7 linked regions of the Oryctolagus cuniculus genome follow. The protein of the gene in region 1 interacts with the protein of each later gene in a biochemical or structural test. Links are inferred from orthologs where the notes say so. Each region holds a gene or a part of one and is shown in the gene's direction. Other genes may lie near its edges.

Region 1 (4,500 bases):
GCTTAGCCCACTATGCCACCGGCACCAGCCCCAAATTTAGCATTTTTAAAAGCTAAGGGGACTCTTTGCCTCCCAAGGCAGTTATCATGGGAGGATGCTCCCAAGAGAAGCCACAGGCCTTGGGCCTGCTCACAGGCTGGCTGACGGAGTGCCGGCTTCTTACAAGTGGTAATCCAGTGGTCTGGGAAGGGAGCACCTGGTGCAAAGGGATTAGGAGGAGGGCACAGAGGGAGAACTCCTAGGGACAGCGCAGTTACTGCCTCTGCGGCCGGAAGTTCAGACAGGTTCCACGCCGATTGGAAAAGCACACACTGGAGATCTGATAAGGAGTGCAAGGCGCTGTCTGTCGCTTTTGGAAAATCTTATACAGAGAGAGAAGTACCATAGATTGCACGAACGCTTCTCTTCCCTTCAACAGGGATCAACCCACCTCTGCCTCCGCCCGTGCCAGCCCTCCCCTCCCCACGGGGGACTCTGGAGCAAACCTGAGCGCTCCGTCATTTCAACCACAAACGCTCCGGCCTGTGTGTGAAACATTCAAGGGGCATTTTCAAGGTATCCACTGGGAAAGCGAAGCCCACTCTGATTAAGGCGGGAATTGGGAAGACCTCAGTCCACCTGGGGCGAGTCCGGGCTCCCCAGTGCGCACCTGCGGGACCTCGGCTCAGCCCCACTCCCCAGCTCCAGCCCCCAGCTTCCTCTTTAGTAAAATGTAAAATGCCACCGATATGGGAACGGAGAAGCACTAACTTCCAGCCCAGCCTCTCCCTCTCTCAGGACCCCAGCCTCCACCCCCCACTCCCACCCCCGGAGGCCGCCCTGCCTTCCATCCGCAGACGCACAGGCCCACAGAGTCATTCTGGACACTGAGCAAACAGACTTGAGGTTTGGGTCTCTCACCTCTCCTTTCACTTCCCCGTCTTTCTCTCGGTTCCCACGGCGCGCAGAACCCACCCTGCCCGGCGTCCCCTCCACCACGGTGCCGCCTGCCGCAAACTCAAGCTCGCAAGTTGGTTTCTGGGGGCCTCCTGAGCCCCGGGGCTCGCGATAGCAACGGGGAAGCGCATGGTGCGTCCCCCGCCGCGGCCACGGCAGAGGGTGGCCGGGCCCTTCTCCCCGCGCACCGCTGCATCCCTGGGGCAGAGCGCATCCCCTAGCCCGAGGCCGCGATCCCGACCCGGGAGGCTGGGCCGCGTCCCCTTCGCCCAACGCCCGGATTCTATTCTTAGGTCGGCAGGCCGCCGGCTTTCGCTTTTCCTTTTTTCCAGGGCGCAGACCTCCGGCGGGCGGGCCGCGGTGGGGTCGCCGTGGGCTCCGGCCGCGCCGCCGCCACCGCTGCCTACGGGATCCGGCGCCGCCAGGGCGGGTCTCGCGGGCGTGGGCGCGCCCCAGCCGGGCCGCGGATCCACGCTTGGGCCGAGCCCCACGCAGGCCGCGGGCCCGGGGCTCGGGAGAGGGAGGCGGGCCCGGGAGAGGCAGGGCCGCGCCGGGCGGGGCCGCCTTCCCCGTGGGCGGCGCGCGCGTGCGGCCGGGGCGCGGCGGGCCTCGGAGGGCGGCGCGCGGGGCCGGCCCGGGCGCAGGAGGCCTCCTCGGGGCGCGGAGGGCGGCGGCTCGCAGCCCGAGCCACCATGGCCAGTGGCGGTGGCAGCAACCAGGGCAGCGACGAGGACGAGGAAAGTCTGAAGAAGTTGCTGGTCAAGCTGAACAACGTCCAGGAGGGCAAGCAGGTCGAGACGCTGGTGCAGACCCTGGAGGACCTGCTCGTGTTCACGTACTCGGAGCGCGGTAAGGCGGCCGCGCAAACTTTGCGCCTCGCTGCGCCCCGAACCGGTCCCGGCTCCTGCGCTCCTGCCGCCCGGCCTTCCCCGGGGCGCAGAGCGCCAGGGGCCCTGACTCTGCCTCTCCTCCCTCACCCTCTTGTCTTGCAGCCTCAAGGCTGTTTCGGGGCAAAAGCTTCCACGTGCCTCTGCTGATCGTGTTGGATTCGTATATGAGGGTCGCGAGTGTGCAGCAGGTGAGGGCGCCCCCCTACCCCACCCCGCGACTCCTTCTGCTGGGAACCCGACGTTTCCTGCCTGCCGGCGGGGAGGCCGCATCCCCGGGGCTGCTGGGCCGGGCCGGGCCGGGCCGAGCCGAGGTTTGGCCTCCGGAACCGCTGGCTGTCTTGAGGCTGGAGGCATTGTTGGGGGATCCTGAGCTTGACTTAACGGGCTGAGGGCCCGGCACGCTCCAGTCCGCTTTCCCAAGCCGCTACCCAAAGCTGGCTGCAGGGGTTGGGTGGCCGCGGGGACTGCTGTTGGCAGGAGGAGCCAGCCCCCCGTCGTGTCTGGGAGGAACCCCTCTGAACGGCTCCCCCACGTGCAGCCGCGGTCCAGACCAGACCGTCTGGGAAGGGCGAGTTTGACCAAGGGGCGCAGGGAACGGCAATCAGACGCAGTTAGGCGGCTGGAGGTCTGCGCCCTGGCTCTCCGCGGCTGCTCTTTCCAGTCTGAAGGCTTCCGCGCCTTCGTGAGATTCGGGCTGCGTTGTAGGATTTAAAGGAAGTGATGTTTGCTGATTGCCTCACCTGTTTGAGTTGGTGCTTCGCTAAGGTTTGTGACCTAAAACCTCTGTAGGAGTGAAACTTCGAGACCCTGCAGCATGGGGGAACCCAGAAAGGCGCCGAAGGCCTTCGGGGCGTTCAGGCAGGAGTCAGTGAGCCTTGAGAGTGGTTGACCCCAGGACGGTTACTCCCCAAGGTGATGACGTCCTGTGCAGCTTTTGAGATTTGGGGAACTGAGAGCAGTCCTGTGCCCCGCGGGTCAGGTCGCTGGGGGGAGGGGCCCGCGCACTGATCTGGCAGGCTGCAGCTGGGAGAATGGCAGTGTCTCTCCACCTTGGGTCTGTCTCTGTACCTGCAGCTCCTCTGCATGAGCCCTGGGCCCTGGATCTGCCTGCTTCCTATGAGAACACTTACATCTAGAGTAAATGTTTATTTTCTTTCAATGGCGAAGTGTTTGCCATCTGACAGTTGATGTTCTGTCTGCTGTCAAACCAAACCCAGAGGGAAGGGCAGGCGTGGTCAAGAGAGTCCTCATTTTAGCTCTCGAGTCTGGGTAGTTGTTAGGGGCTGGCTGATGGTGCTTGCTGCTGTCACCCACACCACCCTTCTTCCAGCATGTGCTGGGTGTTCTGGAGTCTCTCTCCCAGTTCTCTCCCCGGGATCCTGCACAGCCTTGGGTATGCACTGTGGGGAGGAGTGCTGCTCTGGGAAGCCCAAGGGAGCCAGGAACATAGTCCCTGATTGTTAATTTGAGAAACTGCCCGAGCCTGGGGTCGTTAGGCAGGTCCCTCGGGGTCTTTGCACAGAGTACCAGAGGCAAAGCGTGGTGCACAGTAAATAAGGGATGATGGACATGGCACCTTTTGATTCTCACAGGGTCTCACTGCTCGGAGAACTCCTGCTGGGTATCTTATCTAGCGGGAGCTCAGTGGACATTATGAGACTCCCTGGGGGTCTCAGAGTTGGGGGCTTGAGACTTTTCGCACCCCCAGGTTCTCTTTCCGTCTTGAGCTGCAGTAACTGCAGAATGCGTGCCAGGCACAGGCTCAGTGGTTTGACATCAGGACATCAGTTTGAATTAGGTGGTCTTATCTGAGGGATGTGGAAAGGGGCCTCTCCACGTAAAAGCAGGTTTCTCCCTCACCAGATTTTTTTGACTGTCGGCGCAGAAGACTTGAATGCTTCACCTGCTGCAAGTACATATTTAAGGAGTTAGGTGCCTGACTCTTCCAAAAGGGCTTTCTCAGAAGCCCGTTAATGTGACACTGCAGGCTCTGAGTTCTTCAGGACCTTTGTGTATTTTACGAATGCTTTAAGTAGATGACTGTTGGGAGACCTGGTAGCTAGGCCAAGTTCTCTCTCGCTGCCGTTCATTTCCTCTCTGCTCCTCAGTATTACTTTTTATCCGCACAGTCTCAGCCACTGAAAAGGGGGCGCAGAATCAATGAAAGTGGCTTACAATCTTGCTAACCTCTGCACTCCATTGTGCACTGATGAGATGCTTGGGTTTATAGGATCATTATCCTAAAGTGAAGCTACTGATGTGATTGCGCAGTAGCTGTGCAGAATAGGGGCCTTCTTCGGAAGATAAGCTTTTAATGGGCTGGATGAATGCATCGATTGTTACCTCTGCTGCTCTGCCAGAGATGGTCTTGGCTCACACACGCTCCGCCGAGCTCCTGCAAGCTCGGTGACTGCATCTTTCTGCAGAGCCGTTGTTGATGCTGCAGTTTCAACAACGAAAACAGCACAGGTTTTCTCCCTGTGTCAGCCAGGCAGGTACAGACGCGAGGTGAGCATCCTCGGTGATTCATTTTTTTCTTTTTATTCCACACCGGACACTGTTCATCATGTATTTTCTTAGATACTGGGGAAGGAGAGTCTCAGTGTGTCTTACGAAAGCACAGAAATAGCTGGTTTCTATGACAGCTGGATTGTCAGCGCCTGCTCAGCTTGCA
Region 2 (3,768 bases), on another chromosome or scaffold:
GGCAGATCACCCATCGAGGGGGCTGGGCACCCTCTGAGGAGCTTCCTTCTTAGACACCCCGCAGCCCCAGGGGGATTAGCAGGAGGGTGATGCCCCCTCCAGCCACTGCCAGTCACTGGGGGGTGGTGCCTGAAGGCCTGTAGAGGGGGCAGAGCTGGGGAGCTGGGTATCTCCCTGGGGGCACAGAGAGGGAAGGTCCTGCCCCCGCGGTCAGACACCCTGGGACACGGCCTCTCCCTGTTTGGGCTGCAGTGTCCAGTCTCCACTGGCATTCCTGCCTGGTGGGCCTGTCTTGGAGGTCTACCCTGGCCAGGTCTCACCCCAGTGGGACTTCTCGGCAGCCTCTGGCCCCATCCTCAGCCGGCCCTCCCCGCCACTGCCTGCAAGACAGAGGCAACCCGTGGACCCCTGGGCACAGCCGCCTGCTGTTTTTCCATTGAAATTACAGCCTTGGAAGTGTTTTATTTGCCTCTCAGCTCATTTCTGACATTCCTTCCCTACCACAATGGAGTTGCCTGGGCTGCCTGGGCTTGGGGCCCCCTGGCTTGCGCAGCTGTGGGCTGACCTCATCTCTGCCAGTGCCAGGGCAAAGGGCCCGCTCCCCCAACCCCCCTCCCCCCAGGACCACAGGCCCAGCAGCGAGGGAAACTCAGCTGACACGGGCCTCCTCCACCTCAGCCCCTCCCCTCTCTCAGTAGCAGAGTGGCTGGGGAGCTCCAAGTGCAATGCTGGGGTTCCTGTCGCTGTCATCCTGGGTGAGCTGAGCATGACAGTGCCCCCCCCACACACAGGAGGTGGCAGGGCCCTCTAGAAAGATCTAGCCCAGGACAGGCATCCCAGGTTACTCTGCACGCTCTGCTCTCACTCTGCCCTCAGCTGTCAGCGGGACAGGCTGCAGGGGTCACCTTGGCCCTAGCCTGCAGGGCCGAGCTTCCCCCGTGCACTTCGCAGCTGCTTGTGCTCTGCTGCCGCCCCCACCCTCTCTCGCGCCCCCATCCCCCCAGCCACCACCGGCCCAAAATAGAAAAGGAAAGGAAGTTATTTCCATAGGCAGCAGCAGCAGCAGCAGCCCGGAAAAGCTCCCCTCCAGTGAGGGGGCGGGCGGGATTCCTGGAGCTGGAGACCAAATCAAAGCCAGGCCTGAGGCGAGCCAGTGAGCTCGAGGGAGCGAGAGTGGCCCACAGCGCCCAGCCCCGGCTGCCTTCTTACTGTGTCACTTCCCTGATTCAGCAGAACACGTGTCCTGCGGTTGCCACGCCACAGGCTGCCGAGGAGCCGCAGGGAGCTCCTGGCAGGGCTCCAGGCTGCTTCCAGGCCCCGGCCGGCCGGAAGGGCAGGCCCCCCGGGGGTCAGGAGCCGGTGTGCCTCTCCTCTCCGCCTCTCCTGCCCCCTGCCTACCTGCTGGCCTTGGCCTAGGTGCGGGCCTCCCACCACTCCCTTGCCTGGGTGCCCCTTGCAACGAGACCCCTTCCCCACACCTCTTGGTTTGCCTTCTCTGAACACAGGCTCCCGGGCACCTGAGCAGGGGGGCGGCAGTTTCTGGGGTGAGGATGCTGAGTCTGGGGTCCCACTCAAGACCACCCTGCTGGCTATGGCTCAGCCAGAACTGGAGCCTGGCTCTGCTTTACCGTCTCTGGAGGGGTCCTGGCCTCCCCCACGGCAAGCCCACGTGCAGGCAGCCTAGGGGCAACTGCTCGTTCATCTGAGCCTGGCACTCAGCAGCTGGGAGCTCGCGCTGGGCCGGGTGGGAGGCGCGCGAGCGGCTCAGCGATGCGCGTGAACAGTGCGTGTGATTCCGCAGCGCCATCAGCGCCGCGAGCAGGGAGTCGGTTCTCTAGGGCCCTGGTCCTGGAGGCAGTGGGGGCCACAGGGCTCTCCGGGCCGGATCCAGCCTGTCTGAGGACCTGATGTGATGCGCCCGAGACCCGTGGTTGGGCCTGACGGCTCCCTCCTCGCTGCACCCCCACCCTAGGACCGACGTGCTGGGCTCTGGGCCCCCTTCGAGCCAGAGGCGCTATCGGAACTGGAACCCCCCGCTGCTGGGCAGCCTCCCGGATGACTTCCTCCGCATCCTGCCCCAGCAGCTGGACAGCGGGCAGGTACTGGGCTGCCCCGCCGTCCTCTCCCACCTGCCTGTCCAGCATCTCTTTTGCCCACGCAGTTCGAGCCGGCCAAGCTTACTTCCTGATGTTTAAGCCCAGGCTGCTGCCTCACTTCCTGTCCAGGCCTGAAGGTGTCCTGTTCTACCCAAGGAAGGTGACAGCTGGAGGAGATTTGGGCCACAGCCAGGCAGCCAGTGACAGAGAGCCTTCCCCCCAGCTAACTGGCACAGGCCAAGGCTTCCCCCGCGGGAGGGGGGCTCACTGTGAGGCGGCTGCTGCCGGGAGAGTTTGGGGGTCCACGTGGAGGCTGGTGAGCAGTTTGCAGGTCTCTTCAGGACCATTCTGGCTGTAACGAAGGCAAGCAGTGATCTAGGGTGGAGAGAGAGAGAGAGGCATCGCTGCTCAGCCCCTGGCCCTTCCCCAGCAGAGAGGGCTCTGACCTGATACAGTGGGGCTGTTAGGAGGGGTGGGCTGGGGGTGGGCTGGGGGATCCCAGGCAGGGCATGCATGCAGCGAGGGGTGCAGCACCTGCTCTCGTGAGGAGGCTCCCCCACGCTCACTCCTCTCCTCAGGGTAACCCCGCCGGCCCCAAGCCTGTGAGTGGAGAGGGAGGCCCGGCTCCTGCGCCTGGGCCCGACCCCAGGGACCAGGAGAGCCGCTGGAAGCAGTACCTGGAGGACGAGAGGATCGCACTCTTCCTGCAGAACGAGGAGTTCATGAAGGAGCTGCAGCGCAACCGCGACTTCCTCCTCGCCCTGGAGAGAGGTGGGCACCGCGTGGGGGCGCTCCAGCTGCCTCTCCTTGCCCGGGGCTGAGAGGGGGACACGATGCTGGCTCCCGAGAGCACTGAGCAGCAGGCTGGGTGCCAGGTGTTGTCTGTCCTGCTCGGCATGGCCCCGCCAGGTTGTCTTTGGGGCAGCCCCAGAATCCTGCCAGCGGGAAGCTGGGGCACCTGCAGCCACCGCTTCTCCCTCCCCTGCAGGGTTTGCCCTCTTAGGTCCTCTCCTCCCCCTGCACACCTGCTCCATGCCTGGCTTTGTGGGGGGGGGGCGACAGGGGTGAGGGGGCTCAGTCGTTCCTCACAAACCAGAGCCCCGGGAAGAGGGCGGGGGGCCTGTGGGTGCTGGGCTTCTGAGACCGCCTGTGTGGACATCGGGGCAGGACACTGGTCTTGTGCTTGCGTGGGAGATGCTGAGGCTCGGCCACCTCTTCCCTTCAGGGCAGGAGTGTTGTGTGTGTGTGTGTGTGTGTGTGTCTGTGTGTCTGATGTATGTCAGTGCAGGAAGAAGGCTGGGCTGAGAGCGAGGAGGCCCCGGGCTGGCCCCAGCTCTGCAGCACAGTGCTGGAGGTCTCAGGTGCTGCACTTGAGGGTTGGACGCTGCAGCCTCCCAGGCCCTTCTCGTGCTGACCTTTAACCTCCCGGAGCGCTGTCCCTGGCAGGCCAAAGTTTCCGTGCTGTCGCCCGGTCTTTGAGAGCTGGTAGACCTGAGTGCACCGTGTGTGAGGCCTACCCCCACCCTCCTGCATCTCAGCCCCTGTGTGCCCTTGCTGGCCCGGGAGCCCCCTCCACTGACAGGAATGTGGTCCTTTTCCAGATCGATTGAAATACGAGTCCCAGAGATCCAAATCTAGCAGTGTGGCTGCGGGAGGCGACTTTGGCTTTCCC
Region 3 (4,359 bases), on another chromosome or scaffold:
TTATGCTGATCTGAGGATCTACTGAAGGTTTCTGAGAGTAAGTGCTGTCATCCACCTTAATTAGGATTATTGCAGTTGAGAATACACATGAGAAGCAAGAGTGGAAGTATGAACCAAAGAGGGACGCTCAATGATCCAGGTGCAAGTTGACCAGGTTACGTGGACCTAGTGGAAATGGAGCTGAGGGAAGAATCTTGGACATACTGTGAAGGTAGCATTCATGTGATTACTGATGGACTGGATCTAGGACATGAGAGAAAGTCCAAGGTGAATCTAAAGTCTCTTGAGAGACATCAAGCCATTCACAAAATGTGTTGGGATATCGAGTTTAATGTTTGGCAAAAATATGTTTAATGAGATCGGTCAAATAACACCCTATACCAAAAGCTTACTAGTATTTAGAATGAGTACAGATGGAATTGGGATCCAGGCTTAAGAGTTCCCTCTCTGCTAAAGTATTTAAGTGGTGATGGTCACTGATGAAAGGTTGTGATTCAGCTTCAAAGCTGTTATTACCATTTCCATGCCTTCAGTTTTCATACTTGCAATACGAACATTCTTGTAACGTGAGCTATCCTGAGAGCGGAGCAAAGCACAATATTTTAAATACAGCGGCCCTGCTCCATCTTTTACTGATATTTACTGGATTTTTGTTGTTGTCGTTAACAGATTTAATACGTTGGGTGTGAAGTGACCATTACCAACTATTTAAAATACCAGAAAAAATTTTTGTAGGCATAAAAGTGAAATTCCCTTTCTTGGAATGTGTGGGAATTAAATTCACTTTGCTTCGCATCTGGAGCTAGACAGGCAAAGACGGGATAGCTGCTTCATTCTTTCTCAGTAGCGTCAGTGTGGTCCAGGCTGTTATTCTCAGAAAAGTGACTTGGTCAAGTACAGACTGCCGAGGAGGCGGTGTCCTTCTATGTCTTCTGCTTTGCAAAGGGACCTTTTCTCCCTGTCGGCAGAAACCTGAATGTTTTTTCGTTCTTGCTTTGAATTCTGGGTGCTGAAAGGAAGTAAACGAAACCATCGGTGAGCCATGCACCCACAGCCTGCCCACCGTGTGGTATGGTAACTCCGCATAGGGGGAGTTGGCTACTTTTATGCTGCACCAAGAGTCGGGGCTTGGGTGTTCGCTGGGTCTCCGCGCCGATTTCGGGTTGTTCCAGGAGCAGAGAGCAGCCGACTACGTTAGGTGCTCCCCTTTTTGGGTCCTCCCATCCCAGAGTCTCGGAGGCCTTAGCTCCTGAGGCCCACCCTCGAGCTTTTGCGGCCAGCTAGCCCCCTCCAGGCCCCGCCACCCCCAGCCCGCGCGCGCCGCGCCTGCCCTTCTTTGGCCACGCAGCCGCGGCGGAGTCGGCGCGTCCTCGCGAGCCGCCCCCGCGGGCGTCAGAGAGAGGCGGGCGCCCCGCGCGGTGACGGCGACGCCTGCGGCCCGGGAGCGCTCCACTCGCCACCGCGGGAGAGGCCGGTGACCTCTCGGCCGCCCCGCCTCAGAGGCTCAGATGGCTCAGGCGAAGATTAACGCCAAAGCCAACGAGGGGCGCTTCTGCCGCTCCTCCTCCATGGCCGACCGCTCCAGCCGCCTGCTGGAGAGTCTGGACCAGCTCGAGCTCAGGTGAGCGGCCGGCGGGCCGGCGAGGGGCACGCGGCGGGCTCGGGCGTCCTGCTCGCCGCGTGGGCGGCCGGCGGGCGGAGGCCCCGCCTGGGGCAAGCGGCGGCGAGAGAAGTTGCTTGTTGGGGTGGTGTGGATGGAGGCGGTGCGGTTTTGTGTCCTGGCAGGTTTTCCTCTCCTCGCTGAGAGAAAACGCGTTCCGTCCCAGCTAACCTGTGAGCACGTTATTGATGGACACGTGAACACACCTGTGTGTTTTAGCGAATACCCAGAGAAGATAAAAGTTAGGGTGATGGTAATGGAGATTATTTCCAGAACCTTCTCTGGGGTCCCAAAGATCTTTAAGCCCCCCCCCCCCAAGGTTGCGAGTTAAGGGAAAAAGATTAAAGTGTTCTCCCCACCCCACCCCACCCCCCGTGAAGTTTTCTTGTTCCAAAGCACTTCAGAGCAGAAAGGGGGGGGACCCCAGGAATGCATCTAAGAGCAAAAATTGTAGAGCAGTAGGCCAAGGGAGGGGCTGTAGGAGGAACAGTAACTGGGTCCTGTACCTCGTGGATTAAAGACATTATGGCTGCCTTTGCTCTCCTAAGCCCACATACTGTGTTCCAGTATTTATTTTCTTAATATTTATTACCTTACATAAAAGATGCTGCTGAGACCTTAAAAGTGCTAGTCACTGGCCCGAAAGCATGAAAAGATAGTCAACAGTTTTTCCTTTTTCCCTTGATGACAGTTTTAAGTAAGTAAGATAGTGATAGGCTTGTATAGAATGTCTAAGTAGTAATAAGTTTTGGAAATGGCTTTTTCCTTTAACAGTGTATAAAAACGTATATGTACTATCTATGAACATTTGTGTCTGAAGTTAGTGTCTGCGTTGTGGTTGTGTGCAGGTATAGTTAGGTGAAAATCTTGAGACACGCATAGCCCCCTGACACTGTACATAGGATTTGGTTCAGTAGTTTCTGCCAAGCTCTGAAGGCGCAAAGGAGTGTGGAAGCCCCAAAGTGTAAACAGTGCTGTATTGTGTGTCCTTCTCTCCCTCCATTAATATAGCAAAACATGAAGAAGTGTCTGTTTGCCCAGAAAAGATACCAGTAACCACAGTGTCTGCTAGTAAAAAAAGATTCGCTATTACTACTGGGAGGAAATCGCCAGAAAGTGTGAAATTCTCCACTCACAATTCCAGGGATGGCAACAGAGCCACCTGGGCCCTAAGCCAGGTACTGGGGTTCACTTAGGGTGCGACAAGTTGAAGAGAGAAGCAATGCTTCCTTATGGATTGCCACAGAATCAGCAAACCTGGGTTCAACACCCAGAGAAAGTGGAGTGAAACTACAGTGGCCTCAGCTACTCCAAGCCCCTCTAAGGAATGGGATTTCTTTTGTGTAGCAGCTTAGTAAGTACCTTAGACTTCTCTCCAGGCGTTCTCTACTAGCCTCTCTCCCCCAGTCAGAGAGAACAGGTTTTCTCTTATAGGAATGAGGAGCATGTTCCCCCTCCTTCCTTCCTTCCTTCCTTCCAATGACAAGCTGAGTCATTGTCCTCACATGTGGTAGGCACAAAAGCAGTCAAGTGCTCCTCTTCTAAAACAAGGCCTCTGATTTGGGGTATTACTGTATTTCTGATATTTGGTGAATGTCAAATGAATTCTGATTACTGCACATAAGTGATTAAATTACAAGTTGCTTAATTACCACTTGGGCTGAAGGAGGAAAGTCTGATTAATATGTGTGTTAATTGTTCATTTCAAGGGCTTCTCGAATAATTCTAGAGTTTTGTTTCTTCCTTTTAAAAAGAGTAATACTGAAAACTAAACAAGTGTTTCAGAAGGTTCGCAAAAATAGAGAAAAATGCTACTGCTGATCCTAACTGAAGTTTGGATGATACCATGCAGGCAATGTGCAGAGCATTGTACCAGTGAAAACTAGAATCGTGCCTAGAGGGAGGTCGAGTTTTCAAACATGAAATTCATATATAATTTATTCTCATCGTTTGAGGTCATATTAAGTAACACTAATAAAGTAGTTATGTTAGTAGAGTGAGGCATTTTAGCTTGTACTTAGAAGTATGCATGTACTGTTCTCTAATGCTAGTTTGATGTTTGGGAAGGAAACTTCTTCCCTCTGAAACCAAAAACAGGATTATACCCAGTGCTTGATGACCTGGAATATTTGGCCTTCCTGATGCTTAAAATGCTGTAAAATGTTTGGCAGTCTTCTTCAGTTTGTTTCTGATACTTGATTGTTACACAAGCCTTGCTTTTTTGACTGCATTTTGTCTCCAGATTGCGTCCCCAAAGAGGCAGTTCCTTTCTCTCCTGGTTTTCATGATTTCTGAATGGAATATAATTTTACATTTGTCAATAGCTCAAGCTACTCTGCTAATTATCTTTTTAGACATTTATCATTTATAAATAATACAGCTTACATGTCAGGCTCCATATCTGTGTGGAAATTACTGTAATCTGCACTCTACAGATGAGAAACTGAGGCTTAGAAACTAAAGACTCATCCAAGGTCATACCACCAGAGAGTAGTGTGCTTTAAATCTGAACACAGGAAGTCTGGCTCGCAAGGCTCTAAGACTTCATGCCTTAATTCTCTTAAATACATCATAATTTTAAATGTAGAAATGATATGATTTTACTGACAGGAAAATGCATTTTCAAGTAGCCTTTAGTTCAGTAAATATTAAACACCCGGGATCTGCCAGATACCGGGTAGACCCCAGAAGGCTCAGAA
Region 4 (3,768 bases), on another chromosome or scaffold:
GTGCCAGCATCCCATACAGGCACCAGTTTGAGTCCCAGCTACTCCACTTCTGATCTAGGTCCCTGCTAATGGCCTGAAAAAGCAGCAGAAGATAGCTCAAGTCCTTGGGCCCCTGCACCTGTGTGGGAGACCTGGAAGAAGCTCCTGACTTTGGCCTGGCCTGGCCCGGCCCAGCCCTGGCCGTTGCAGCCATTTGGGCAATGAGCCAGTGTACACTTGTTAAATGAAATATGACGATCCAGTCTCAAGGAGGTGGCCCAGATCTTTTCTGTCAACTCCATCACATTACTGGAGGAGTGGGCTTCCTCCAGCTCTCCACTGCTCTCCCCAGGGTCGAGGGCCGCCGTCTCACAATCCTCAGCAACTAGGACACCTGCCCTTAGTGTTGTGTTCTGGTAGCGGGATGGCTGCATGTGGTGGTGGGGGAGAAGCCAGAGTAGACATAAGGCAGGTGTGTACTGATTTTTAAGGCAATATGCATCTATTGGGAGCACTTTGACTATAAAGGCAGCCCTACCTGCAAAAAAACGGTGGAAAAAGTGGGTTCTTGTTCTGGTGGAGATTTGGACCCACTTGAGACGCAGAAGAAGGGAAGATGAGACAGCTAGGCCTTTAGTGAGAGAATAGAGGAGGGAGCCTTGTAAATCACTGGGCGTGGAGCGCAGTGCTTGGTGGGCCTCCTTTCTGAGTGCTTGCATGTGTCTTTCCCCACATAGATTCCAAGTGGATTTACAGTGTGGCAGCAGCGTGAAACCTCGAGCCGATGTGGCCTTTCATTTCAATCCTCGTTTCAAAAGGACCAGCTGCATCGTATGCAATACTCTGATGAATGAAAAATGGGGATGGGAAGAGATCACCTACGACATGCCTTTCAATAGAGAAAAATCTTTTGAAATTGTGATCATGGTGCTGAAGGAAAAATTCCAGGTAGGTTTTGGGGAAGGACAAGTTGAATCCACGCTGGTGAGAATGAGCACGCAGGTGGGCTTTTCACTTTTGTTTATTACATTTGAGAAATAGTTTGGCTTTGTCATTTTTCTCTGTAGTAGGACTGGGCCTAACCATGAGGTAGGACGTAACTGCTCTGTCCAGCCAGCCGTTGCCACGTAGTAAAACAGGCCCGGTGTGGCTAGATCTTTTCATTGGATCATACGTCTGCTGGCAGGGCTGAATTCTGAATTGACAAAGCAATATGTTAATTGTGGGCAAGTAAATTATGATCACCACCACTCGAAGTGTGGAGGATCTGGAACTGACAGACGGGGAACCCCAGTGTAGAAACCAGAAGGGATTGGTAAAGTTAAGTTCTGACCCACATAATTCTATGACATCACGACAGCTTAGATCCATAGGGGATCTTAGAAGTCCTTCATGTAGAAAGTTCTATCACTAGCTCTGTGGAATGTTTTACGCACCTGGGGTGTATAGGTGAGGCAGAATTTGTCCTAGAGGCTCTCACACCTGCTGGCCCTCAAGCCCAGCTTTCCCAGGCTGGAGATTCACACCGATTCCAGCCAGGACTCACGTGTCTGGTGCGGATTCCTTTGTCCTGAAGGACACTGTTTGCATTGGAAAATGTCCCTCAAGTCTCGTCAGCTCCATTCACCCGTCCTGTCTGTGGGCTTTTGAGCAATTGTGCCTGTATCATTCTTTTTAACAGTTTACTGTTAAACACTCTTTAACAGTGTACTGGTGTTATTGTGTTTGTGGTTTGCTGATGGGATTTTAAGCTCCTTGAGTCAGACACCTTTTGTTTGTTGCTGTGCTTTCTGCACATAACTTAACACGGCACCGGGTACTGGGGAGGAAGAGAAGAGGAGCCGGGCATACTGACCAAAAACTTGCAGAAGCTACTTGGTCATCTCCTTGTAACCGTTGCCCTTGAGGTAGAGACTGTTCCTGTCTACAGATGATAAAACCAACCCTCAAATAGGTTGGGTAACTTGCCCATGTTGATCCATCTAGTAAATCCAATGAATATTCATGGGGTGCCTACCATGTAGGTGACTATCTCAGAGTGTGGTCCTCTAGGAAACTGGAGAACAGGCAGGGTGGATCTTTAACCTGAGCTCACAAAGGCCTCAGGGCACCTGTGCAGGGACTGATGGGGGATCTTTGAACCCGGATGTCTCAGGTATACTTGTGGGTGCACACATGGATATGTACATATATTCAGAAATGCTTAGTCTGTCTGGGGAAGAGTGGTCTATGACCTCTACTCAGATCAAGAGCCCAGAAGTTAAGAAATAGCGTTGTGGTTGCTTTCAAACACAGTTTGGTCAGATGTGTATTTAGAATCATGGAAGGAAGGTATAAAGCTAAACTCAAGAGAACATTTACTTTTGGATAAGAATTTATTAACTTACTTTTTTTTTTTTTTTTGGTGGGGGGTGTTTTCTATGTGCATCTAGGTGGCTGTAAATGGAAAACACATTCTCCTCTATGCCCACAGGATAAGTCTGGAGAAAATAGACACTCTGGGCATTTATGGCAAAGTGAATATTCACTCAATTGGTTTTAGCTTCAGCTCGGTGAGTGCCCTTCCATAATTTGGGGCATATGCTTTTAATTTGAGAGGTAGAGAGACAGAGAGATAAAGAAAGTGAGCTCTACTCTGCTGTTTGACTCTCCAAATGCCTATCATGGCTAGGTCTGGGACAAAGCCTAGATCCAGGAATTCAACCCAAGTCTCCCACATGGCAGCAGGAACCCAATCACTTGAGCCGTCACCGCTACCTCCCAGGGTCTTTATTTGCAGGAAGCTGGAGTCAGGAGCAGAGCTGAGTATTGCACTCAGGTACCCTGATATGGGACATAGGTGTCTTAACTGTTAGGCCAAATGCCTATCCCTAGGGTGTTTTTTTTTTTTTTTTTTTTGGGTGGGTGGGTGGGGTGATAGTTTCTGACAAACTGGGAGAAATTAAATTAACATCTACTGAGATAAGAATAATATAAATACTTCCTTTATTAGAGTAGTAGTTTCTTGGAGGTGATTTTTTCCGAGTAGTAGAATGTTACTATTGACCAGGGCTTTATGATTTCAGATCTACTATGGTTCTAGCAAAACAAGCACTCTTTTTAGTTAGCTGGGGCATTTCCTTTACATGAAGTATTTTTTGTAAGATCCCTTATTGGAAGTGAAATATCTGAGTCAAAGGATATTTACATTGTAAGTTTTGATAGATATTTTTGCCTTACCTTCCAAAAAGATGAAAAGAATTGGCATTCTCAACACCTGTGCCTGTCTGCACACATTCTTGTTGACACCAGATAGTACTCTCTTTAATGTTCACCCAATTGACAGGCGTGTTAAGAGCATTTTTGGAGCACAATTTTCAAGCATGTTTTCATATTTACTACCTTTAATAATTTTTTGATATGTTGAACAGGTCATATTTAGAAAAGATGTTCTGATGGATGTTAAAAATGATCTTTTCTTCAGGTTTTACAAAGTACCCAAGCATCCACTGTGGAGCTGACAGCGATAAGTAGAGAAAATGTAAATATTAAATCTTTTAACCACCTGTATGGAAGTGTTCTTTTAGTTGCAATGTAAATCAGGTGGCAGAAAGGCTGTTTTTTTTAATATTATGATTTCATTTTACTTAAAATTTTAAAAAACTTACTTACTTGAAAGGCAGAGAGATAGAGAACTCCCATCTGCTGGTCCATTCCCCAAATGTCCACAACAGCCAGGGATGGGCCAGACTAAAGTCAGGAACTAGGAACTCAATCCAGGTCTCACATGTGGGTGTCAGGGTCCCAGCT
Region 5 (4,284 bases), on another chromosome or scaffold:
ACAAAAAGACTGGCAACAACTTAAAATCCACAATAAATGGCTGGTTAGATGCAAAATATGGGTAGCTCTATGCACCATGGTACTATCTGTGTAAAACACAACACATATATATATATATATATTACATATGTAACTGTGTATTTGCTTGGAGAGGTACAGAATATTCATAGAAGATAAAAAACGCACTTGAAGAAATAAGTGTTCCCCAGAAGGGAAATGCCTGTTTAGAGATAAAAGTGGGAAAGGAGGCTTTTCACCACATAACTCTTTCCTCCTATAATTTTTGTTTCCTGTTTTTATATCACCTACTAAAACATTATATATAACCCAAGTCCAGAGCACACTGTGTAGGCTGCATTGGTCCTGCCTCTAACCTGCCTTCACTCACAAGAGTATATATATATAAAAAAAAGCCAAATCTTATCATGTATTTGCTTAAACATCTCGCAAAGATTTCGCATCAAATTTACAGCAAAAGCCGGCCCTCTTACTCCTGAGCCTATTTGTTGCTACTCTCTCCTTACCTCACCCTGCTTCAGCTACGCGGCATCTGCACCGCTCAGGGGACATGTCAGACACTCCCGCCTCCCTGCATTCGCTGTGCCATCTGACTAGACTGCACGCTACTTCTCCTTCAGGTTCTTGCTAAAACACCTCGGTGATGCGGCCCCGATCAAGTCACTTCAAACGGTACCGTCCGTCCTCTCTCATCCTCCTGGTTCACTCTTAAGCGGCCCAGAGCACTAACAGAAACGAGCATCCCTGGCGTTGAAAACATTCACGCCGCGAGGTCAGGACCGGGGAAAGTCCGTTCTCTCCGACCAGATGAAGTGACGGATGTTTCACGTCAACAGAAGGGGAGGATAGTCCACTACCCGAAAAAGGCATAAAAGATCAACCTGAAGGGTTCGATTCGTAAAAGGCAGTGGAGAGAAGTGCTGGAAATGCGACAAGCACATTCCGCGGCTGGGTGGTCCAGGATTCCTTTCCCTCTCGGCGCGAGCGGTGGGCTTTCCCCGGCCCCAGTCCCCGTTCCCCTGGGGCCCTCCGGCCCTTACTTTGGTGCCTCCGAGCCGTAACACTTCCTCCAGGGTGAACCCATTCTCGGCTTCTCCGCTATCATCCTCGTCCTCTTCGTCAGGATCGCCCACTGCTTCCTCCCCGCGCCAGGGCCGCTTGGCGTGGAACTCCAAACGCGCCTTGGGGGCAGCCATGACCAACGCGCCGCGCACGCAAGCGCCACAGCTCACTTCCGCTTGTCCCGTGACGTACTTCCTGCAGGGGGCGTGTTCTCTCCCGGAAATGGCTGCAATCCCCACCCCCCGGGGCGGTGCGTCCCCGGGCAGCCGAGCTCGGCATGAGCGTCCTGCTGCTGTCCGGTCGGGCTTGGCTGTGCTCTGCGGCGCGCGGGGGTAAGTGTCAGTGCTGCAGAACCCGTACTACTTGGGGTTCTGTCCCAGTTCTTCAGCTGGGGGCTTCTGGGGTCCGGACGCTCACATCCAGCTTGAGGCACTCTGGGTGGAGAGGAGTCTGGCCGCAGACGCCGGGGGGCTGCGTGGTGGGGGGAGAAGTCTCGACGCGCTTGGGCGTCCTCCGCACGGAGTCAGCCTGTGGGGTAAGGGTTAACGAAGTTGGGTTGAAAGGTGCTTGCTCGTGTGAAGACTGATATTCTCAATGGACCTGTTTAATCTGTTTTCTTCCCCAGTCTTTCCCTGTCTTTGGAGAGGGAAATGCTTTTGCACTGGGAATGAGCGGGCAGAAAAGAACCCGACGACGCCAATGCTGCGGCATCTGGTGTATAAAATAAAGTCCACTGGCCCCATCACTGTGGCCGAGTACATGAAGGAGGTGTTGACCAATCCAGCCAAGGTATGGGTCGGGGAGCCTAAGGATCGGCCGGTGCCGGCAGGTTTGCAAGGTGGGGTCAAGGCAGGGAGGCCTGAAGGTCCGCAGCCGCGCTCGGGGGTACCTAGGGAAGAGCCATCCCCGAAGACGTGGGAGTGGGTAAATTAATCTGTCAGTCGTCAGGGCTGGGTCACGTCGGCGGCAGCGCCTGAGAGCAGAGGGCAAGCTCCAAGGGTGTTTCAGAAGCAGAGTGAAGCCGCTCGGGTTTCTGTGGGGAGGGGCGGATGACTTTCCTGCAGTGCTGCTGGTGCATGGTGCATCGTCGCTGTTGGAGAAGGAAGTGCGGAGGGGGAGACCAGCTGCCTGGAATGCTGCCTGTGTCGGGATTCGGAAGCGTGTTGTATTCTGGTTTTCCTGAGAGTGGGGGGTCACGGTCGTTAGTGTTCTAGGGTGAAGCAGAGTCGCAGCTTTCTGACCTGCAAGCCCTACGGAGGCATTTGGGGAAAGCCTGTAGCCCTTTAGTTTGGAATATCTCACGTGTTGCTGGGTTGAGATGTGACATGGGGAATTCTGGGGTTGGGTTGGCCTATTGCAGTTGGATGTGGTGGAGTGACTCCTGCGCCCAGGGGTGTGTTAAAGGCAGGGGTCTTTAATGCCTGTGGGCAATGGCTGTGAGGGGGAGGCCTCACCTAGTGTGGTGGTAGTGGAAATGGGGTGACAAGTGGGTGACGGCGTTTGCTAGTGGATTGGTGTGGCAGGGTGAAAGAAAAGGTAGATTCATGACTGATTTCTGGATTTTTAGCTTGAGCAATTGATTGGGTGATGGTCGTGTTTTTGGTGTTGAGATTGAGACAAGAGGATTACGTTTGTAGGAGTCCTGAGAAAAGGATCTATATCAGGTGCTGAGTCTTACGCATACTGTGATGGCAATGATATTCAGGTGGAGATAGTAAGGGGGCAGTTGACTGTTAAGCGTGGAATTCAGGGGCCAGCACTGTGGCCTAGCAGGTAAAGCTACTGCCTGCTTCTTCCCATTTGGGTCCAGTTCTGGCTGCTCTACTTCTGATTTGGCTCCCTGCTAATGTGCCTGGGAAAGCAGAGGAGGATGGCCCAAGTACTTGGGCCCCTGCACCCACGTGGGAGACACAGAAGCTCCTGGCTCCTGGCTCTGGATCCGGAAGAAGCTCCTGACTTCAGACCAGTCTAGCTCTGGCCTTTGCGGCTCTTTGGGAAGTGAACCAGCAGATGGAAGACTTCTCTCTTTCTCTTTCTCTCTCTCTTTCCCTTTCTGTAACTCTGCCTTTCAAATAAATAGATCAAGGGGCTGGCGCTGTGACCCAGCGGGTTAAAGCCCTGGCCTGAAGCACCAGCATCCCATATGGGCGCTGGTTCTAGTCCCAGCTGCTCCTCTTCTGATCCAGCTCTCTACTATGGCCTGGGAAAGCAGTAGAAGATGGCTCAAGTCCCTGGGCCCCTGCACCCACGTGGGAGACACAGAAGAAGCTCCTGGCTCCTGGCTCCTGGCTTTGGATCAGCACAGCTCCGGCTGTTGCGGCCAATTAGGGAGTGAACCATCGGATGGAAGACTTCTCTTTCTGTCTTCTACCTCTCTCTGTAACTCTGTCTTTCAAATAAATAAAATAAATAAATCTTTAAAAAAGGGTGGAATCCAGAGGAAAGACTGGAGATGAGTAAATTTGGTTGTCATCAGTATGTACATGGTGTTAAATGGCAGAGAACCAGGGAGAAAGGACCTACAAAAAGGCAGGCCTCCCAGTAGTAAGATTTGGAATAAGTCCGGAATTCACGATTGAGGTCTGACAAAGATTTATTTATTTGAAAGCAAGGTGTGAGAGAGGTAGGTGCTGGCTTACTTCCTAAGTGATCTCAACTGCTAAGGCTGGGGCTGAGGCTGAGCCAGGAACCTGGAACTCCATCAGTGTCTCCCACACGGTTGCCAGGGCCCAAACACTGGGGCTGTCTTCCACTGTTTTCCCAGGTGCGTTAGCAGGGAACTGGATTAGCAGTGGAGCAGCTGGGACTGGATCTGGCACTCCTGTGGGATGCCAGCATCACATTCAGTGGCTTAACCCATTGTACCACAATGCTGTCCCTAGAGTTGGGGTCCTTACCCAAGAGACTCTTGATAGAAATGATTGGCCTCATGAACTTGGATGGGAAAAAATTTATGCCATTATTTTTATTGACTTACAACTGAAATTTAGCATTTCTTCTGTTATGAACTCAGGTAATGAGCAATATCTGTGACTTTGTCATCAGTGAAAATTGCTGATACTATTGCAGTACATCTGATATCGTCACAATACAGTGGTCATCACAGGCTTCTCAAAGTACCACTGTGCTCATTTCTACTTCAAAAACCTCATTAATCATTAGGTCTTTAGCTTGATTTTTTTAACTTTAATTTTTTATTTTTTG
Region 6 (3,768 bases), on another chromosome or scaffold:
CGGACACAGAGTGGCCGTGAGGACCTCTGGGATGCCGGGGTAGCACTGGCGTTCCTCTAGTTTGTGGTGCTTAGCCAGTCTGCCTCGCAACCCTCACCCCTTCCCCCCTTGCTAAGCATGGAATCCCGGTGTTCACATGGACATCGCCACCTGGGTTCCACGTGGCCAGCATCTGCTCCCCAGCACAGGTCGCATGAAGAGGTGATGGCAGAGGAGGCTTCTGTGGGGGGAGGTCCCTGCGGCCAGCCCCGGCCCTGCCCAACCAGCGGGGCGGCCCTGAGGAGCCTGGACGCTCCAGATCGCACCTGCACCGCCGCCAAGACGAGGGGCAGGGGACAATCCCAGGCCCTTCCTGTCCCCAAACTGTGCAATCGGAAAGGCCGGGCTGACAGCCCACGGTCTTGGCCGGATCCTCAGGAGAGAACTCAGTGAGTCTCCAAAGCAGAGAGCGAGATCCGGGGCCCCAGGCTTCGGCAGGAGTCCGTGAGCGAGCTGAGGTCCTTTCCCGAAAGCCCGAGCCGCCTGCTTCACCTCAGTCCCTGGACGGCGAGCCCACGGCGGGGGACTCGGCCCCGTGCTCAGGCCGGGAGTTCGTCCTGCGGTAGGGCAAGTTCCCGTGGGAAAACAAGTGCGCGAGAGGACAGAACGGCCCTGGACGCAGACACTCTGGGATTTTGGTAACCGCTCATCACTGTGACCCCCACAAGGGGACTTGGCCCCTGCCCTGAAGTGAGAGAAGGGCTGTGGGGCGGGGCCCTTCCTGCCTGGAGTCACCTCCGTGGTAATGGCCGGAGAGCAGGACCAGGGCTACAGGCTCTGGCCTGGGAGCAGCACCCCTCCATGCACCTGTCCCCACGACAGCCGTTCTGTCGACGAGGAGACAAGCCGAGAGGTTCCGTTGTCGCCAGCACGCAGCTGCCCCGTGCACAGCTGTGGCCCTGCCTCCCTGCCCCCAGCAGCAGCCCCGGACTCCTGGCAGGGCTCCTGGCCCAGGTCAGGTTGATGCTGGTCAGCTCTGGGGAAGGTTCCTCTAGCCTCAGCATCTCGGCCCGTCCAGGGCCCTGGAGCTGGGCAGGGGTGAGTGGGATCCCACGGGTCACCCAGAGGCGGTGGTGCTTCCAGCACCCCGTGCACACACCAGACCCCCAGGACCCCTCCCTGGACAGGTGCAGGCAGGCGTGCACAGCCGTCTCGGGAGAAGCCCAGGCCGGGGGCAGCACCTGCTCCACACACGATTCTGGTGGTCACAGTGAGCACTGGGCCGCAGCCCCTGAGAGCAAGGGGCTAGCTGGTTGCCGGCTCTGCAGTGTGGACCAAGGCTCCTGAGGCTGACTCGGGTCTCGTCTTGCAGGGTGCCGAGGGCCAGAAGCCCGGGTTCGGCTATGGAGGCAGAGCAGCTGACTACAAATCGGCCCACAAGGGCCTCAAGGGCGCAGACGCCCAGGGCACACTCTCCAGGCTCTTCAAGCTGGTAAGGACCCCGTGGGAGGGGTGGGAGGAGTGGAGGAGGGCCGGCCAGGGCAGCCTTGGGGCTCCTGTGTGTGAAACGGTGGCCGACCCAGCTGACAGGTTGTGGCGAAAGTCCAGGCGGTGAGGCTGGGCCTCCCGGAGCCCAGCAGGCATGGCCTCAGCTCACCTGTGGGAACTGCACAGGTGCACAGGGGCCCGACCCTCGTTCAGGGCAGAGCGTGAGAGGTCAGGCCCAGAGACTCCAGCTTGGGCACTTTCCAAACGGGTCTGAGAACAGCTCCCCCTTGGGGGTTCAGGGTAGGCCCATGCGCCTCGCAGGGTGGGCTATGCGGTGCAGCGGGCAAAGGCGGGCCGTGGGCTGGCCGTTCCTTTGCTTAGAACAGGATCAGCTACAGACACCTTCAGAGAAATGCTAAGAGGAACCTTCCAGAGAAAAAGGGAGGGCCGGCGTGGCCCAGCAGGCTGAGAGGTGCAGACCCCGTGTGCACGGTGCAAGTCGGGCTGGTGCCGGGGGGCGGCACAGACCCCGTGTGCACGGTGTAAGATGGGCTGGCACTGGGGGAGGGCACAGACCCCGTGTGCACGGTGCAAGTTGGGCTGGTGCGGGGAGGGGGGGCGGCACAGACCCCGTGTGCACAGTGCAAGTCGGGCTGGTGCCGGGGGGAGGCACAGACCCTGTGCGCCCACACAGCTCTGCCCAGCTCGCCTCAGACAGGTCTTGAGTGTCTCTCTTAAATGCTTCTCAGGCTTTTTTTTTGGTGGGGGGCAGTCCAGGCTTTCGTCCTGAGCCCAGCGTCCTGCTCTCTGGGAGGAAGCCTGTGCCACCAGGACCCTGCCTCCTGGGAGGCCACAAGGGCAGGTCCCAGGCCCCTGCAGCTTTGAAAAGATGGGTCAGGACTGTGCAGTGCATGGGGGGGCCACCCTGGAGACAGGAGCACGCGTTGACAGCCAGGCAGGCTGCTCCATCTCTGTCAGGCCCTAACTCAGTTCTGCGTGAACTCCAGGGGTAGAGAAGGGCCCTTTTCATGGCTGTGCAGGTGCAGGAACTCCCAAGGCCCTACTGGGCTCGCCGGCCCTGGCGCACAAGGAGGTCCCTGGAAGGCAGAGGCCCAGGCCGGGGAAGGGACAAGCGAAGGCAGTGGCCAGGCTGTTTGTTCTGGGCGAGGGCTGTGAGTCTCAGCCAGTCCTGCAGCCTTGCCCGAGTGCAGCTCATGCCACAGGCGGACTCCCTGGGTGTACACCACAGGCGGACTCCCCGGGTGTACACCACAGGCGACTCCCTGGGTGTATACCACAGGCGGACTCCCTGGGTGTACACCACAGGCGGACTCCCTGGGTGGATACCACAGGCAGAGTCCCTAGGTGTACACCACAGACAGGGACTCCCTAGGTCTATACCACAGGCAGACTCCCTGGGTGTACAACACAAGCGGACTCCCTAGGTGTACACCACAGGCGGACTCCCTGGGTGTACACCACAGGCGGACTCCCTAGGTGTACACCACAGGCGGACTCCCTAGGTGGATACCACAGGCAGTTTTGGGTTCGGGGACCCTGAATGAATGACACAGCCAGAAGTGCACAGCCTGGTCAAGGAGCTCATGTCTGGGGTGGGAATGGGGATGGGAGTGAGGAGGAGAAACGCTGTAGGAAGGGCGGCAGGAGGCAGGCAGAGGAGCCACCCTGGTGGTGTGGGCAGAGCTGCCTGTAGCGCCCAGTGGGGTGGCCAGGGAGTACTACACAGGGCCGAGACCTGAGGTCAGCAGCCAGGCGCGCACAGTGGGAAACCCTGGTTCCGGCAGAAGGAACAGAACGGGACAGGGCCCAAGGATCTGTAGAACGAGGCAGCCAGGGAGAGGCCCAGGGGGAGGCCCTGGACCTGCAGAGAGGGGTTAGCCGGAGCAGCGCCCGCCCCCAGGCAGGACACACAGCCCTGGGTCTGAAGGGTAGGGGAGCAGCAGGTTCCAGGGAGCACAATGAGTGTGGCCTGCGGTTCACCCTGACCCCCAACCAGGTGTGCAGCAGAGCCTGGACTTGGGAGTCTCTGGCTGGAAAAGAAGGACAAGGCCCTTGGCAGCTGGCAGCTGAGCCCGGGCCGCAGCGCTGCACAGCGCCCCTGCCCCCAGTCGAGGGCGGCCTTCCCCGGACGCAGGCGGAGGCGCCCTGTGTGTACTTTTCATCCTGAGGCACAGGCAGGTCCCCTGGTAGCTGTCAGGAGTGAGCACTGTCCAGAGTGATGACTCTTGCTGGTTGGAGTAACTCGGGCTCCGCGTCCACCTCCTCTCAGGGACACAATGT
Region 7 (4,371 bases), on another chromosome or scaffold:
TTATCTCCATGCCTGGCTTCCAAAGCAGGTGCCCACCCCGCCTCTTTGTCCAGCGTTCTCTGTGACAAGGGTGGAGTGGAGACCATGCCATGTGTGGCGCAGCAGAAAGGTTGGGGACTTGGTTTTCAGGGGCAAAGCTTCAGGGAGCAGCGGGTGCTGTCTGCACGGTTTTGGAAGGGATGGCCTGTGCAGAGAGATTCAACTTCCTTTCTGTGGGCCCAGAGGGGTGGAACTAGGACCAGAGGAATAGGTGGGCTCATATGAGATGGATTTCCTCATTTCAAAGTGGCCAGGAAAAAAAGAGAACTTTTCTTCACCAAAGTGGTGGATTTACAATGTTCACTACTAATTTTTGGAGACAGGAAAGTGAATTAATAAAGGTACTCCATAGTTGGATCCAAAGAGCACAGAGAGCCCTTTTTAAGTGTTTGGTACTATATACCAGCACTCAGCACTCGGCACAATGCCTGGTATATATGAGAAGTACCTAGTGATTATTTGCTCAATGAGTGTACAGTTAATTGGATTAAAAATAAACTGACAGGGGCCAGCACTGTGGTGCAGCAGGTTAATGCCCTGGCCTGAAATGCCAACATCCCATATGGACACCGGTTCTAGTCCCGGCTGCAGAACCAGGATGCCAGCCAGCTCCGTCTGACCCAGGGCCTGTGCTCCTGCCACAACATCACTGACAAGGGAGTGCAACATGTGGCAGTCCCTGCTTAGCCAGTTTCACTTTCTGTGGTTTCAGTTACCTGCTGTTGATCAAGGCATGAAAATATGCAATGGAAACCCCCAGAAAGAAAGAATTCCAAAGTTGAAATTGCACACTGCTCTGGGCAGCATGATCAATTCTCCTGCCTTGCTGTTTTGCTCTACCTGGGGGTGTGAATCATCCTGTCAGGCAATGTAGTCACCATGTATATGCTACCTGCCCCTTAGTCATCTAGTAGCCACCTTGATAAATATCAAATTTATTACTGCAATATCATAGGACTTATGTTCAAATAACCTGTAATTTACTTAATAATGACTCCAAGAGTAGTGATGCTGGCAGCTTTATTACAGCATATTGTTATTATTTCTCTATGTTTTATTAGGTATTGTCATTTATTGTCCCTAATTTATAAATTAAGATGCACCATGTGTTTGTGTAGGAAAAAACCTAGTCTACATAGGGTTCAGTACTATCTGTGTTTCAGTTGGGTCTTGGAATGTACTCAGCTTGCATAAGGGATGTCAGCTGTGTTTTTCTTTTTCAAGGTTATTTGCACTTATTGCTTCTTCGGCAAAGATGCAAAGATTCCAATCCAGCCTTGACCTGAAGCAAATTTTACACCCTGAAACTGTCAGCCACAGGTAAGAAAACTGAAGGAGCCAGGGGAGAGGTGCCTTCAGAGCAGGAGCACTGTGGGCCTGGTTTCTAAGCAGCTCTGTTGGAGATCTGAACCCATTTCCACCCACATCAGAAGGTGGGTTTGCATCATTTGGATAGCTTTGTGTGTCTGTGATGCAAGTCCAAAATTACTGCAAATGCTACTTTACAAATTAATAGTAATTCCCCTGTGGTTGAAAGATGGGCTGTCGTCCAGACCCATGGCTCAGAGGGCCACTTACTAGCAGTGTGGTTGTGGCCAGCAGCACAGGTGCCGCATGGGCAGTGGAATCCGGGTCCCAGCTGCCTTGAAGAGTTGTCGTAGAACCCAGTGAAGAGCAGCACAGGGAGATGCTTATCTGTAAAGCCTGGTTGTATGAGTAAAGTTAGTCGTCATGATTTGTTCAATACTTTTCTATGAGAATTAAAACACCTTTGGCTTGAAATTAGAAAAAAATCATAAGTTGAATAGACTGGATAATCTTGCATTCTTCTTTAAAAAGACTTTATATGCAATATTATATGTTAGCATTACATATAATGTTCATGTGAAAATGGGAATTTCACACTGTGTCTCAGTACTTCTACCTGAGCTTGAAGTCAGCATCCAGAAGTAAGAATTGGCTCCTTCATCCATTGGTTCTAACTAGATTGTGCATCTTAAAATGGTCAACCCCTTGTTCTAGCAACTAGAAAAAGAATATCTACAGCAGCTTCCACTTATTCTTGGGTCGTCGATGCTGTGTGGGATCTTTATGTTTTGCTTATGAATGTGGCTCCAGAATTACACCAAGTTCAACCCAATTAGAGCTCCCACCACCCAGAAGGCAAGGAGGAGAGAGGAATAGAGAAACGTGTTGAGGCCAATCCTATATTCTCCTTCGTCCCAATAAGCAATACAGTACCTAAGTGCAAGTTTCCCTGAGGTTAGTTGGAACAAGTTTCAGTGAGATTAGTTGGAACCTGTGGAGCTGGGGGTGGGGGAGGGGTGCAAATCTTTGAAGACTGGGCAGAATGGGGCAGAGTGGGGCACCTCATTGGAATATTTGGAGAGTGGGAGAGGTGGCCTTGGTGGCCTGGGAGCACCACTGGGGTCACTGGGGCTCAGCAAAGCACTGACGGGGAAGTGACAGCTTTTGGCTTCATAATCATTTCACAGAGACATGGGCTGAGAAGCTAAGCTGGTTAACTCCTGTTTCATAATTATCTGGCAGTGGTTTGAGAACCAATAAACTCAAATAGTTCCACCTGCTCATAAAGCAAACAGTACAGCTGGTCAACATCAACTGCCTAAGATCTTTAGACTACATAATTAATTTAAAGATATTCAATGGGCCAGCACTGTGGCATAGAAGGTTAAGCCTCCGCCTTCAGTGCCAGCATCCAGTATGGGTGCCTGTTTGAGACCTGGCTGCTCCACTTCCAATTCAGCCCCCTGCTAATGTGCCTGGGATAGCAGTGGAGGATGGCCCAAGTCCTGGGGCTCCTGCACCCACATGGGAGACCCGGAAGCTACTCCTGGCTCCTAGTTTTATCTTAGGCCAACCCCAGCTGTTGCAGTCATTGGGGAGTAAACCAGTGCATGGAAGACCTCTCCCTCTCCCCTCTCCCCTCTCCCCTCCCCCTCCTCTTCCCTCCCCCTCCTCTTCCCTCCCCCTCCTCTCCTCTCCCCTCCCCCTCCTCTCCCTTCTCCCCTCCCCTCTCCCCTCTCCCTTCTCCCCTCCTCTCCCCTCTCCTCTCCCCTCCTCTCCCCTCTCCCCTTCCCCTCCCCCTACTCTCCCTTCTCCCCTCCTCTCCCCTCTCCCCTCCTCTCCCTTCTCCCCTCCTCTCACCTCTCCCCTCCTCTCACCTGTCCCCTCCTCTCCCTTCTCCCCTCTCCCCTCCTCTCCCCTCTCCCCTCTTCTCCCCTCTCCCCTCCTCTCACCTCTCCCCTCCTCTCCCTTCTCCCCTCTTCCCTCCTCTCACCTCTCCCCTCCTCTCCCTTCTCCCCTCTCCCCTCCTCTCCCTTCTTCCCTCTCCCCTCCTCTCCCTTCTCCCCTCCTCTCCCCTCTCCCCTCTCCCTCTCTCTCTCCCCTTCTATCTGTATTTCTGTCTTTCAAATAAATAAATAAATATTTTTAATAAAGATACTGAAACCAGCATAAAAAATTAAATATAATAAGCTCTGGCCACTAAGTCTCAAGATATGTCCATTTGCTCTGTTGTCATAGAGCTACCATTTATATTGAATTTCTACTTCTTTAATATGAAGGGTACATTGTAGGCACTCAGAAATGCCCAGACAGCATCTTTTACTTTGAAATTCTAACTTATTTTTGGCCATAATATTTTGTTTTCTCATTATGCATGAAAACGGTGACTAGCTTTGGGATTATTTAAGGTTGCTGTTTTGGGGACCCCTTTGACACTCAGCACTAGTCACATCCTTGGTGAAATGTTGACTGAATGACTTAGCAATGTCAATGACCCTGTCATGAATACCTTGTTTGTCTGTTGGTCTATGACGTAATGGAGGTTTAAGGAGAGTCTCTGATTGGGAGTCCCACTTCCTGTTTCTGGGTCTTGACAGCCAAGAAATGCCCCGGAGGTAAAGCAGGACAATGGACGCAGAAAGGGCTGACACCAAGGTGCAGAAATCTTGTCTTCTCTCCAACTAGGAGCATCCGCAGAGCTGAGCAAGGCGATCAGAAGCCCCGCAGCCCACCTCGCAGAGGCTGGCACTTCAGGGGCCAGAAGCAGGAGGACTTTGTGTCTGAGGGCTCAGGGGAAGCTCTGTAGCTGCTCACCTTGTGACCGAGGGCCTGTCCTCTCTATCCCCCTCACCTCTCAGCCCATTTCACCTGCTGCCCCCTGCAGTTCCCCTGCCTGGGCACTCCGCTCACCTGGAGCCTGGGCTGCTCCACCCTGCTAATTCCTACACACAGCACCATAAACAGCTGTGGCTGTGCCCCTGGGGCTCCTGGTGACCAGGAAAGCTGCTGCAGAGGATAGTGAAG

Evidence for each region.
Region 2: the proteins of LRRK2 (region 1) and CUEDC1 form a complex in vitro, tested with the Homo sapiens proteins (2 studies listed by BioGRID and IntAct, with this or other methods). The link is inferred for Oryctolagus cuniculus from reciprocal best matches to the Homo sapiens genes LRRK2 and CUEDC1.
Region 3: the proteins of LRRK2 (region 1) and BAG2 form a complex in vitro, tested with the Homo sapiens proteins (2 studies listed by BioGRID and IntAct, with this or other methods). The link is inferred for Oryctolagus cuniculus from reciprocal best matches to the Homo sapiens genes LRRK2 and BAG2.
Region 4: the proteins of LRRK2 (region 1) and LGALS8 form a complex in vitro, tested with the Homo sapiens proteins (2 studies listed by BioGRID and IntAct, with this or other methods). The link is inferred for Oryctolagus cuniculus from reciprocal best matches to the Homo sapiens genes LRRK2 and LGALS8.
Region 5: the proteins of LRRK2 (region 1) and NDUFAF7 form a complex in vitro, tested with the Homo sapiens proteins (2 studies listed by BioGRID and IntAct, with this or other methods). The link is inferred for Oryctolagus cuniculus from reciprocal best matches to the Homo sapiens genes LRRK2 and NDUFAF7.
Region 6: of the proteins of LRRK2 (region 1) and MBP, one has a biochemical effect on the other in vitro, tested with the Homo sapiens proteins (6 studies listed by BioGRID). The link is inferred for Oryctolagus cuniculus from reciprocal best matches to the Homo sapiens genes LRRK2 and MBP.
Region 7: the proteins of LRRK2 (region 1) and CDC42EP3 interact on a protein array, tested with the Homo sapiens proteins (2 studies listed by BioGRID and IntAct, with this or other methods). The link is inferred for Oryctolagus cuniculus from reciprocal best matches to the Homo sapiens genes LRRK2 and CDC42EP3.

Annotation. Positions count from the first base shown.
Region 1 is NC_091440.1:131,746,007-131,750,506, forward strand, and holds the start of LRRK2 (leucine-rich repeat serine/threonine-protein kinase 2), read left to right. Parts: upstream 1-1,526; 5' UTR 1,527-1,628; coding exon 1,629-1,785; intron 1,786-1,928; coding exon 1,929-2,014; intron 2,015-4,500. UniProt on the Homo sapiens protein: Serine/threonine-protein kinase which phosphorylates a broad range of proteins involved in multiple processes such as neuronal plasticity, innate immunity, autophagy, and vesicle trafficking.
Region 2 is NC_091448.1:33,330,747-33,334,514, reverse strand, and holds part of CUEDC1 (CUE domain-containing protein 1), read left to right. Parts: intron 1-1,972; coding exon 1,973-2,099; intron 2,100-2,674; coding exon 2,675-2,867; intron 2,868-3,697; coding exon 3,698-3,768.
Region 3 is NC_091436.1:112,404,690-112,409,048, reverse strand, and holds the start of BAG2 (BAG family molecular chaperone regulator 2), read left to right. Parts: upstream 1-1,346; 5' UTR 1,347-1,508; coding exon 1,509-1,621; intron 1,622-4,359. UniProt on the Homo sapiens protein: Co-chaperone for HSP70 and HSC70 chaperone proteins. Acts as a nucleotide-exchange factor (NEF) promoting the release of ADP from the HSP70 and HSC70 proteins thereby triggering client/substrate protein release.
Region 4 is NC_091444.1:61,224,099-61,227,866, reverse strand, and holds part of LGALS8 (galectin-8), read left to right. Parts: intron 1-716; coding exon 717-927; intron 928-2,411; coding exon 2,412-2,531; intron 2,532-3,442; coding exon 3,443-3,499; intron 3,500-3,768.
Region 5 is NC_091433.1:165,582,359-165,586,642, reverse strand, and holds the start of NDUFAF7 (protein arginine methyltransferase NDUFAF7, mitochondrial), read left to right. Parts: upstream 1-1,269; 5' UTR 1,270-1,357; coding exon 1,358-1,412; intron 1,413-1,705; coding exon 1,706-1,869; intron 1,870-4,284. Other genes in the region: CEBPZ (CCAAT/enhancer-binding protein zeta), read right to left, coding at 1,059-1,214. UniProt on the Homo sapiens protein: Arginine methyltransferase involved in the assembly or stability of mitochondrial NADH:ubiquinone oxidoreductase complex (complex I).
Region 6 is NC_091441.1:2,285,978-2,289,745, forward strand, and holds part of MBP (myelin basic protein), read left to right. Parts: intron 1-1,351; coding exon 1,352-1,471; intron 1,472-3,768. UniProt on the Homo sapiens protein: The classic group of MBP isoforms (isoform 4-isoform 14) are with PLP the most abundant protein components of the myelin membrane in the CNS. They have a role in both its formation and stabilization.
Region 7 is NC_091433.1:165,017,157-165,021,527, forward strand, and holds the start of CDC42EP3 (cdc42 effector protein 3), read left to right. Parts: upstream 1-1,336; 5' UTR 1,337-1,359; intron 1,360-4,371.